Arabidopsis thaliana: one gene and its partners. The protein of the gene in region 1 interacts with the protein of each later gene in a pairwise test. Each region holds a gene or a part of one and is shown in the gene's direction. Other genes may lie near its edges.

Evidence for each region.
Region 2: the proteins of HAM1 (region 1) and AT5G28040 interact in a two-hybrid assay, tested with the Arabidopsis thaliana proteins (one large-scale study listed by BioGRID).
Region 3: the proteins of HAM1 (region 1) and AT1G79020 interact in a two-hybrid assay, tested with the Arabidopsis thaliana proteins (one large-scale study listed by BioGRID).

Annotation. Positions count from the first base shown.
Region 1 is NC_003076.8:25,829,045-25,832,800, reverse strand, and holds the start of HAM1 (histone acetyltransferase of the MYST family 1), read left to right. Parts: upstream 1-2,131; 5' UTR 2,132-2,297; coding exon 2,298-2,604; intron 2,605-2,742; coding exon 2,743-2,831; intron 2,832-2,913; coding exon 2,914-2,973; intron 2,974-3,068; coding exon 3,069-3,278; intron 3,279-3,412; coding exon 3,413-3,481; intron 3,482-3,606; coding exon 3,607-3,756. Other genes in the region: C/VIF2 (cell wall / vacuolar inhibitor of fructosidase 2), read right to left, coding at 384-926. UniProt on the Arabidopsis thaliana protein: Histone acetyltransferase which may be involved in transcriptional activation. Acetylates 'Lys-5' of histone H4 (H4K5ac). Essential for gametophyte development. Involved in DNA repair after UV-B exposure.
Region 2 is NC_003076.8:10,037,152-10,040,907, reverse strand, and holds the start of AT5G28040 (DNA-binding storekeeper protein-related transcriptional regulator), read left to right. Parts: upstream 1-1,906; 5' UTR 1,907-1,970; coding exon 1,971-3,254; 3' UTR 3,255-3,324; exon of another isoform or gene 3,325-3,756.
Region 3 is NC_003070.9:29,728,423-29,732,178, reverse strand, and holds the start of AT1G79020 (Enhancer of polycomb-like transcription factor protein), read left to right. Parts: upstream 1-1,585; 5' UTR 1,586-2,119; coding exon 2,120-2,275; intron 2,276-2,337; coding exon 2,338-2,467; intron 2,468-2,563; coding exon 2,564-2,666; intron 2,667-2,966; coding exon 2,967-3,090; intron 3,091-3,195; coding exon 3,196-3,261; intron 3,262-3,491; coding exon 3,492-3,530; intron 3,531-3,631; coding exon 3,632-3,712; intron 3,713-3,756. Other genes in the region: AT1G79030 (Chaperone DnaJ-domain superfamily protein), read left to right, coding at 63-143, 237-341, 428-541, 642-725, 826-897, 985-1,257.

The DNA of each region.
Region 1 (3,756 bases):
TCTCTTTTAAGATGACACTTTTGTAACCTTATCGCAATTTTTAAAGTGTAAAACATCTCTGAAGCGATAACACGTATAATGCATACAGATAAAGCAAAAAGTTACCTAAAGATATATAACGAATATACAAATATCTCTAGTACTTCCCATTTCTTAAGAAGCCTTTTCCCCCAAATCTTCGTCACTTAAAATTTTTGGTATGATTAGTCAATTGATTGAGAAATATTAAATTCCAAATATTCAGGTGATCTCTAAAGATTGTTCTTCTTGGCAATTTGAAAGTTGTAGCAAAGACGAAAGTAATAAAGTAACGGTCATATTAAATTCATGAAATACGATAATTTAAATAGAGATTTTACGAAAGTAGTTAATGCAAATGTAAATCATTCAACAAGGCGATCAAGAATCCCGGAGACAACACCACAAATACGTCTCAGACTAGCTTCACGCCGGCGAATCTCCACCGGATAAGCCAACCCTTTAACCCGCCTAAAAATATTCCGGCAAACATTAGGATAATCCTGCGCCGCCAACACATGCATGGAGGCATAGTCATAAGCTTCATCATCAAGATCTTGAATCGTCAGCCGGAGAGAATCAGCGGCGAGAGCATACTTCTCGGAGCAATCTTGTAAGACCTTTTTGAGAACGGTGTCTTTTACGGTGGCGGATAGGTTTCCAGCGATGTAATTTGCGGTGGAGGTGGCGTTTGTCATACCAACGCCGACCATAATGGAGGCGAGACCTTTTGTGTCGGCTGTGGGACTTCTTGGGTCGGATTTGAGAGCTGAGACGCAGAATTTGTAGTAGTTTGTGGTTTTGCAAGTTGATTCGATTATTGTTGTTGTGTTGGATTTGGCTGAGATTAGGGTTGATGCTGAAAAGGTTAGGGTAACGAGGAGGAGGAAGATGAGAGAAGAAGCCATTTCAGGAAGAAGGTTTTGAGCAACTGTTTACGGAGAGATAGAGATGGAAGAAAGAGGATTCTTGTCTTTATATTCTGAGCAGTTTCTTGAATTACATATTTTACAAAATAAATACAAATGATAACGTTTCCGTTTATCATTTGTAATTGCACTAAATGAGGAATGATTTTCGCATGTAGTGTGGTAGTTTATACTAATATTGACCTATCAAGATTTAAATTCACATGATGCAAATTGTTGGTCAAATAATGAATTAAATTAAAATACGTTTTTCCAGCTTCGTCATTTCATTACATTTGAGTATCTTTACTTTATTTTTGAAGAATTTAGAATTGATGATATACGAACAAGATATTTGTCGATGAATCAATCATTGTAGGTAAAAGAATCAGCCACTTCAACACGTTATTTCCAAAATTTGATAACTAAGTTTTGTTTGCTCAACCAAAAAAATTCTGTCTGTTTTAAAGATTTCGTCACTCTTTTCTCATTTTTTCTTACAATTATACAATTTCACATCATTATTATGAAAAAGGATACACGGTGTGTAGTAGCTACAAAAATTAGAAAGATGAATATATGTCACCAAATTAAATCATTTTATTTAAATTTTCCCTTTAGTCAAGTTGCCATATAAGTATATAACGTGTTTACATGTGAACAACTGAAATAGGAATCAATTCTATTTTTCTTCATTCGAATTTCAAAAGTAAGTAAGTCATCCACTTCAATTCATAACCGAAAAATAAAAGTAAATTGATAGTATGTAAAAGTAAAACATTCTTTAAGAAAAATGAGATGTAAAATTTCACATACAAGATACAGTAAAGTGACCATGTGAATCTTTTTTGTTCATAAAAAATCATTTTGGTTAATCTAGAGGAACATGGTGTGCGAATCTATGACCATAACTTCAAGGACACGATGATGAGTTGTGTTTTTCGTCTTTGCTTCTTGGAACTTTGTGATTTTTTGATCTGTGAATCTTGTGATTAGTACGAATCATAAAGCCTTGTTTGGCTGTTTCCCATTCACGACAAAATACTGACTCTGTCACTTATTATTTATCTCTCATTATCTCTTTAGTTTTTATAAATTGTTTGCTCCTACTAATCATTCTTTAAATGTAACCTGGCGATTATAAAACTAAACATAAGCCAACAGTTATAAAACGTGTATTAACGACGGTAAGAGATTTTTTGCACCCAAAAAAAAAGGACGGTAAGAGAGACATATAGTACAGGCCAATTATAAAGATAGGCCCAATTGAGCATTCAAAGTTGTTATTGGGCCACACTCCTTCCAAATGATGTTCTTTATCCGTATGAGAAAAGAATCCACCCGGAAAAAATCTCCGACCCGACTAAAGAAATGGGATCGTCTGCGGATACAGAGACGGCGATGATAATCGCCACACCGGCGTCGAACCATAATAATCCGGCAACCAACGGCGGAGATGCGAATCAGAATCATACTTCTGGTGCGATACTCGCTCTCACGAATTCAGAATCGGATGCTTCGAAGAAGAGAAGAATGGGGGTGCTTCCGCTCGAGGTTGGTACTCGCGTGATGTGTCAATGGAGAGACGGAAAATACCATCCGGTGAAGGTTATCGAGCGCCGAAAGAATTATAATGGTGGTCACAATGATTACGAGTACTACGTTCATTACACAGAGTGTATGTCGTTTCCTCCTTTCTCTATCTGAAATTTGTGAATCTAGGGTTTATAGATTGGAGCTGAAATTTCGAAGAATTGAATTAGAGGGCTTTGCAATTCAAGTTGTTTTGAGTATCACAACTCTTGTGAAACTGCAGTTAATAGAAGATTGGATGAATGGATTAAGCTTGAACAGCTTGACCTTGATTCAGTAGAGTGTGCTTTAGATGAAAAAGTTGAAGACAAGGTATTAGCCATTTTTCTTCAAAGTCTTGAGCTTTCCTCTCCGTAGTTTGCACTGAAACATAGAAGTTTGTTTGTGGTAATAGGTGACTAGCTTGAAGATGACACGACACCAGAAACGGAAGATTGATGAGACTCATGTAGAGGTAAAGTGATTGGTTAAGTTAGTTAAACTTTGTTGTGGTTTTAGTGAACTGTGTGGCATGCTATATATTCTGATGTTTTTCGATATTTTGTATAGGGTCATGAAGAGCTGGATGCTGCCAGTTTGCGTGAACACGAGGAGTTCACGAAAGTGAAGAACATAGCTACGATTGAGCTTGGGAAGTATGAGATTGAGACGTGGTACTTCTCTCCTTTTCCTCCAGAATACAATGACTGCGTGAAGCTCTTTTTCTGTGAGTTTTGCCTCAGTTTTATGAAGCGCAAAGAGCAGCTTCAAAGACATATGGTGAGCAACTGTTTTTTTTATCATTTGTAGCATTTTAATTGTTTTGTCTTTACAGTTATTTTTAGTTTCACACATACCTTTTATGGGTCATTCTTTTTACTTAAGTTTTGCTCAATCGTCTTTTATCTATGCAGAGGAAATGCGATTTGAAGCACCCCCCTGGGGATGAAATCTATCGAAGCTCTACTTTGTCAATGTTTGAGGTAATAGATTGATGTTTTCATCCTTAAACTGTTTGCTTTAGGCTTACGATACTTGTTTGGAAGCTAATAAATGTATTTAGAATTGAATTTTCACGACCTGGGAGTTTATTTGTAATATCTTACAGGTGGATGGCAAGAAGAATAAGGTCTATGCACAGAACCTCTGTTATCTGGCAAAGTTATTTCTTGACCACAAAACTCTTTACTATGACGTTGATTTGTTCCTGTTCTATATTCTCTGTGAATGTGATGATCGTGGATGCCACATGGTTGGA
Region 2 (3,756 bases), about 16 Mb from region 1:
CTCCTTTTGGAGTAAAGTGGTCCTTGTTAACTCCATTGAATAGGTACTAGATTCATAAGGATTCATTATTAACAATATATCCCAAAGTTCTTCCTACTCATGTGAATTGGTTAGAGAGCCCAATAGTCCAACAATTATCGATTTGTTGGTGCAAAACCTCATCGAGAAGACGTAGAGCTGAGATAATTACCTATTATGAAGCACCAAATTTGTTTAGTAGTCATCACCAAAACTATAATTCTAAATCTAAACCTAGAGAAATAGAAAATTTAGCGACATAAGGAGAAATTTACTAACTTGCATAGTCAAGAATGAGAAGCCATTAACACCAAACATATATATATATATATATATAAAGCATGTGTAACATAATAAAAAACCCTGAAACAAAATCAAGAGAGCGATAAAAAGAAAAGCATACTTTTGGTTCTTTTCCACCACTTCAAAGCTATAGAGATTCAAAATCGAGTTTAAAGCATAGCTATAGAAATTCATAGATTGAGAGTCAGATTTACCACAACACCAAGCCAAATTTCAATGCATAATGAGGAAGTTGGTTAAAGCGTACTTCAAAGCAATAAGGATTTAGAGAGCCGAGTTTCTTGAAAAAGCAGTATATATAAGATTTGTAACCAGCGATTTTGATCAAGTAAAGAGTTTCTTGATTTTGGTCAAGTAATGGTTCTAACATAACATATGTATAAGATCTCTAACCCGCGAGAAAAACAAATAGATCTTATGTAATTTGACTTGTTTATTCTTAATGAGGTGAATTAATTTGGACTTTGAAATTATACTTCTAATGGCATTGGTTAGTAATACTTTAGAAAAGGCAATGTGAATTTTCTAAAGGTACTTTCCTTATATTAGTATAAAGATATTTTTTTCATGAACTAAATGCATGGAGTAATAACATTTAACTATGAAATTTATTTATTTTGAATAATTATGTAGAATGTTATATATGATTTTAATTATTAATTATATTTAAATTATGTTACATTTTATTATTATAATAAAAAATATTTGGTGTAATTATACTTTCTATAATTATTAATTATATTTATTTGGTTTAATTTCGTTCAAACCGGCTGGTTAATCATTCATAAAATTTCTGTAAATGCACCAATTTTCAAAAGCTAACCATATCATTGAAAAATATTTCATAATGTTTAAAATCACAACCGTCCGTTTTACAAACTCTCGCAAGTCATACAATATCCACTGCGTTTAAACCAGTCATACCTAAAAATAGCCATTGGGTGTTACAACAAATGAAGTGAGCGGTTAAAAATTAAAACAAGCCGATTGTAAGCCACATGAAAAATCTGTGAGTTTACCAATTGTTTTGATACTGTATTAGTTTTTTCAATATAACTTTATTTGTATTGTTCTATTAAGAGATTATTAATAGTAAAAGTAATTTTATATGTTATCTAATCTCTTATATTCCTTCCTTATAACAATTTTTTTCAATTTAAAGTAACCACCTTTTTTCATTGTTATGTCATCGCATTTTCTCTAATCGCTTTTTCTATAATCTCTAAAAACATTCTTAACCGTCATAAACAACAGTCACCAATCACAACACCCGTTAATATGGGACGTTGAAGAAACGCAACAGTACACAGAATAACAAAATCAAGTTTGTCGAACGCTTTTCTGTTTCGCCGCGGTTGCGGTAGACCATTGACTTTAAACACATGATCACGCTTCAACTAAAACCGCAACAACCCAAACAAAGCACGGGTAAAAGAAACAAACACTGGACCACTTGCCTGCAACCGCAACACCCTTAGTCATAATTACAACTCTTAAAATCCCGAAACTACCCCTACTCATCTCCAATATTCTCCATACCCTACCACCACCCAAAAAACAAACCCGTATCAATCCTCGTGAACCCAATTCCTTCTTTCTGGATCTGATTCGATCTACCAGAAAAATTTCTCTCTCGCTACGTTTTTCTCATGGCATCGGATCAACGTGACACTGATTTCTCCGCTGAATCACCAGATCTAGAAGAAGACGGCGGCGGTGGCGGTGGCGGAAGAGGAGGAGGAGAAACTGAATCCGACGAAGATGTTGTTATACCCGAACCAAACGAAGCCGAAGACGACGATCACGATCCCGATCCCGATCCAGAATACGAAGATCTGAATTCTCCGTCAATGATTTCCAGAGCTCCGGCGACGAAATCATCCTCAGGAACCGTAACCGTCGCTCTTCCCGCTGGATCCGCCGTACCTGTAGCTTCAATTCCATCAGATTCCGATCAGAAATGGCACCGTATGACTGAAATCGTTCATCAGAGACCACCGATTGATGATTCACGACGTTTATTCCAGAGACTATGGACTGACGAAGACGAGATCGAGCTTCTCCGTGGCTTTCTCGATTACATCACAAACCACCGTGGTAACAGCTCTCATCCGCCTGATACGGCGCCGTTTTATGAACAGATTAAATCTAAGCTACAGTTAGAGTTTAATAAGAATCAGCTTGTGGAGAAGCTAAGGAGGTTGAAGAAGAAGTATAGGAATGTTATGAGTAAGTTTAGTTCTGGTAAAGAAGTGTTCTTTAAAAGTCCTCATGATCAAGCTACTTTTGATATCTCTAGGAAGATTTGGAATCAAACTGGGAAAATTATTGGTTTTGAAGATAATAATGTGATGGATTTAGAAGAAACTAATCATGTAAATAACGCGAATGGTAGCTCGGGTTTTAATGTCTCTGTTATCGGTAATGCGAATGTCGATGTTGATTCGGAGAATGGTTTAGAGAAGAAAGTGACGATAAGTAGAAAACGATCACGGTCTAGGATCGGGAAGATCGACGAGGATAAGCCTGTTCTTGCTCCGTGTGACGGGGTGATACCGAATGCGGTTAATCTTAACGAGAATGTGGCTGTTGGTTGTGATTTTGGTGATGGGAGGAATCTTGGAGTGTTGATTGAAGAGACGGTTAAGAATTGTGTATCGCCCATGATTAAGGAGATGATGAATAGTACGACGGGTATGATGATGGCTGCAACGGGTGGGTTTCCTGGAGGTGGTGCTCATGCTCTCGGTGTGTTGAGTCCGATGCTAATGCCGTCGATGAATTTAGGGTTTGGTGGTAAGGGAGTAGGGGACGAACGGTGGAGGAGACAACAGATTCTTGAGCTGGAAGTGTATTCGAGGAGATTAGAATTGGTTCAAGAACAGATTAGAGCCACGGTGAATGAGTTAAAGACAATGCCTAATGGAGGATGATGCATAAGGAAAGACTACAATGGGTTCTTTAAGTTATGAGAAAATGATGAAGAAAGATTATGATGGTGAGGTATAGTATTAGCAAAAGTAATAATCTTAATGAAAATTTCTGATGGTGATGAAATCTTTTTTAGGGTTTTAGTATTTTTTTTTCTTGATTGAATCTTTTTTTAATTTTGTCGATTAGGAGTGAATAACCTTTGTTCTTAGCTGATAAATTATAGTTTTTGGTAGAGTTCAAAAAAAAAAAAAAACTCTTTTGTGCTATTTATAATGTTTTTTTGTGTGATGCATATAATATGATATTATACATCTAATGATTAATGAACATTAACATGTATTCTTTTGGAGTTTGATCTATGTATTCCGAAGACGTGTCAAGTGTAGAATCTTTGGTGTTATGTCTTCTCTTCGTTACCTGTTGAAGTTATTATTATAACTCTTTGATATATCTACATATACATTTTTGGGGACGATTTGTGTCGAAAAATCCTTTTTCAAT
Region 3 (3,756 bases), on another chromosome or scaffold:
GCTGAGTAGGTGGTTAATGAAATCTCTCTGAATGTTAATGAAGTGTGTTCAATATGTTCTAGGCAATGTTGGTTCATCCTGATAAAAATATGGGGAGTCCATTGGCAAGTGAATCATTCAAGAAACTTCAAAGTGCTTACGAGGTAGTCGAATTACTTATAATCTTGAATTTGTATATTTTGAAGTTCTTGGTATTTTGATATATAGACATGTAATGGTTGTATTATCTTTTTCAGGTTCTATCTGATTTCGTAAAGAAGAGAGATTACGATGAGCAACTACGAAAAGAAGAATCTAGGACTAGGAGTGTTTGTCAGACATCTCATGCTTCTTCGCATCAGGTTTAGTTAAAGTCTTTTAGCTTCTCTGTAATATCTTTTGGCGTGTGGTCTCATGTTCCATACATTATTCCTATTTTGATAAGCAGAGTGGTCCTGATTATCGATCAGATGAGTCAAGGCGGATACACTGTACAAAATGTGGTAATTCACACATATGGATATGTACCAATAGGACAAAAGCAAAGGCAAGATGGTGCCAGGTGATGAATCCAACCAACTCAGAAACAGTTAAAGAATATTGTTCTTGCATTTTCGTTATTTCAAACCTCTCTTACAGATAATCTAATTTGTTAAATGTAGGATTGTGGCCAATATCATCAAGCAAAAGATGGAGATGGATGGGTCGAACTCAAAGGGACATTACCCTTCGAGAGAGCACATAAGGTATAAAAAAGCTTCTTTCTCGCCTTGTCAAATGTTATAATGAATTTGGTTTTGCCTCAGTATCCTCAGCTCAATCACTTTCTTTTTCATGTCCATTAAGATTGAAATACCGCGTGCTTTTGTTTGCGCGGAGAGCAAAATATTTGACGTCTCAGAATGGGCCATTTGTCAGGTCAGTTCTCTTACCGGTTCCTCTGCGGATTACTTAAATGCGAAGATGACTTGAGATACATTAACATGTTTTGATTGGATTAAATAGGGAATGGCTTGTAGACCAAACACGCATAGACCAAGCTTTCATGTGAACATGGTTGGGTTAGAAAAGACAACACAGAGATCAAACTCAAGTAGGTTCCCATGGGATCTAGATGTGGAGATGATGGATGAGGACGAAGAAGAGTTTGAGCTATGGCTTCAACAAGCTCTTGCTTCAGGTCTCTTCTGCGAAACCTCAAAACGTAGAAAAAGCTGGAGCCCTTTCAAGTTGGGCCAGATGAAAAGCAAGAAACAGTGGCGAAGAACTTCCACTTGATTCAAATTTGATCGAAACCATAAACAAAATTTTCATATAGCTCACCACGGTGAATCCAAAGCCTTGAAGATCATAATTTTTTTAGGGGAGTCTTTCTCTGTAAATAGTATCTGTCGATTGTTCTTCCAAAAGAAAAAAAAAAGAATCTTTGGATTTTTCATTGTGGTAAACTAAAGAAGCTGTTTTTCTTTTTTCTTTTTCTGAATCAATGTGTAGATTTAAAGGTGGTTCATTTGATAAGAAGAAGCTTAAAAAAGAAATGTTAATGGTTACTAAATTTATAAAGTTTGAATTTTTAATAATTCTGTCCCTTTTAAACATGAGAAAATAAAAATTGAGAAATCGAACCCAAATTTACTAAAGTTTTCCCTCCTCTGTATGTTGCTGACGAATCAAACACGTCGACCTCCAATATTTTTTTTTTTTAATTTCCTTCAAAGCTTCGATTTTGACCTTCTGGGTTAATCACGGAAGAGTTTCCTTTTTGGGTAGCCGCCGCAATTTTTCCCGGCAGAGGAAAAAAAACCCCTAGAATCTGGGAAATTGACGACGAAGAGGGATATAGGTTTGGAAATTTTGGGTATTTAATTTGATTTTTCTTTTTCTCGTTCCATTCAGATTCAAAAACAAAAACCCTAACCCTAAAATTCGTGTTCGATTAATTTCGTTGTCTCTGTTTTGTTTTCTCTTCGTGTAAACCTTTTTTTTTCGAGTTTTGGCACTCTGAGCTATTTGAGTATTACAGATTAAGCTTCGTCCTGTCTTATTGGAGCAACATACATATATATATATATATATATAGATATCTATCATCTGTATTTATAGGCACACTTGTAAGTAGAATAGTGAGGAAGAAGGTAATATGAGTAGGCTCTCTTTCCGGCCACGGCCATTAGACATTCATAAGAAGCTTCCCATTTTAAAATCCTTTAAAGACTTTGAAGATGATGAGACTCCAACTTCTACCACTAGAAATTCTCAGTTGCTGCGTATTGCTTCCGTAGAAGTTGACAATGAGGTGAATTTCCATTTTGTTCTAACTTCGAAACATTCGACCATTTTAACCATTGTTACTATCAGGTGGCTCCAGTGCCAAGTAAGAAACCGGCTTCAGAAATACCAACACCTCAATTTGTTATTGTGGATACATATGAAAGGGATTATTCTCCGACTTTTGGTCAGCCTGCTTCTTATCTACGTGCAAGAGGAGGTACCAATTTCCTCTGATTTGGTTTTGTATTCATTGGCAATGAAGGTGGTTTCTTTGTTATGTGCAGACTATAAGTTTGTCTGTTTGTTTATGCAGCTCGGTCTGAGCTTGGAGAATTTGTGGAGTATGATCTTGACAATGAGGATGAAGACTGGCTTTATGAGTTTGATAAGGATAAGAAAGAACTTCCACCTGAAAAGTAAAGTAACCAATCCAACTATCCTTATAGCTCTTCTTCTTCGGATTTATCATCATCATCAGTATTTTTCTGTTATCTTGTAGCTGCATCATGCTGATATTTTAAACGTTGAGGCGGATTGGGTTATTCAGACTCTCTGCGTCTTTTAGTTTTGTACTGTTGCTGAATTAGTTTGCTTTATTCACTAGAAATTGGATTCTGCTAAAATTGTTAAAACCAAAACTCTTAGTGAAATAGATACCGAAAGAAGAATCGTTCCATTTGATGCACAACACAAATGTGTTAAATTGTTTGATACAGGCTTGAGATCATCATTTTTAAACTAGAGGTGTTGGATCACAAGACGCGGGAAAGAGCAGGAGTTATTACACCTACTCTCGGCTCTCCAGTTCCTGTGCTTTTGCAGTTTGATGCTGCTTCTGATGTATACCTTTACTTTTGGATTATATATCTCTTGTTATTATAACTCTACACTCATTTTAGAAGCAGTACAAAACATTTGAATGATTAGTTCTGATTCTTATTGCAGGTGCTGCAAGTACTGTCCATTAATTATGGAACCTTCCAGGCGATCTTCAACTACTGGAAAGAAAAGGTTTGAAATAAAACTTATGTGATTGTTACAAGTTTTCTGGATACAGACGTTATGTTGCATAGGTTAATGATCTTATTTTACGGGGTGAGATAAGACGGTTTAATAGATTATTTGATTCGTGAAACCTATGCATAGTTCTTGTGAATGACAAAGCAGTTCCACATATGGAGTACCTTTGGCTGATAATACTTATGCATATGTTTCGTTTTCTGTTTTTTATGTGAACTTAGCGTAAAAGATGGCAGAAGCCTATCTTACGGCGTTTACAGGTTTGTATTATTTATTTCCATTTGAAACGATCAAGGCCTATGTTGGAAAGGCATCTTACCTCGATTATTTAGTTAATGTTTTGCTTCATTGTTTGGAACAGCCTCCCCCACCGGTTAATGACACCAATCCCTATAATGTGTTTAGGCCAAGGGAGAAAGTTCACAGACTCCACACAAGAAGGGTAGGCTGTCTTTTTTATGCATGTGCGACATTTTTTCTATTAAA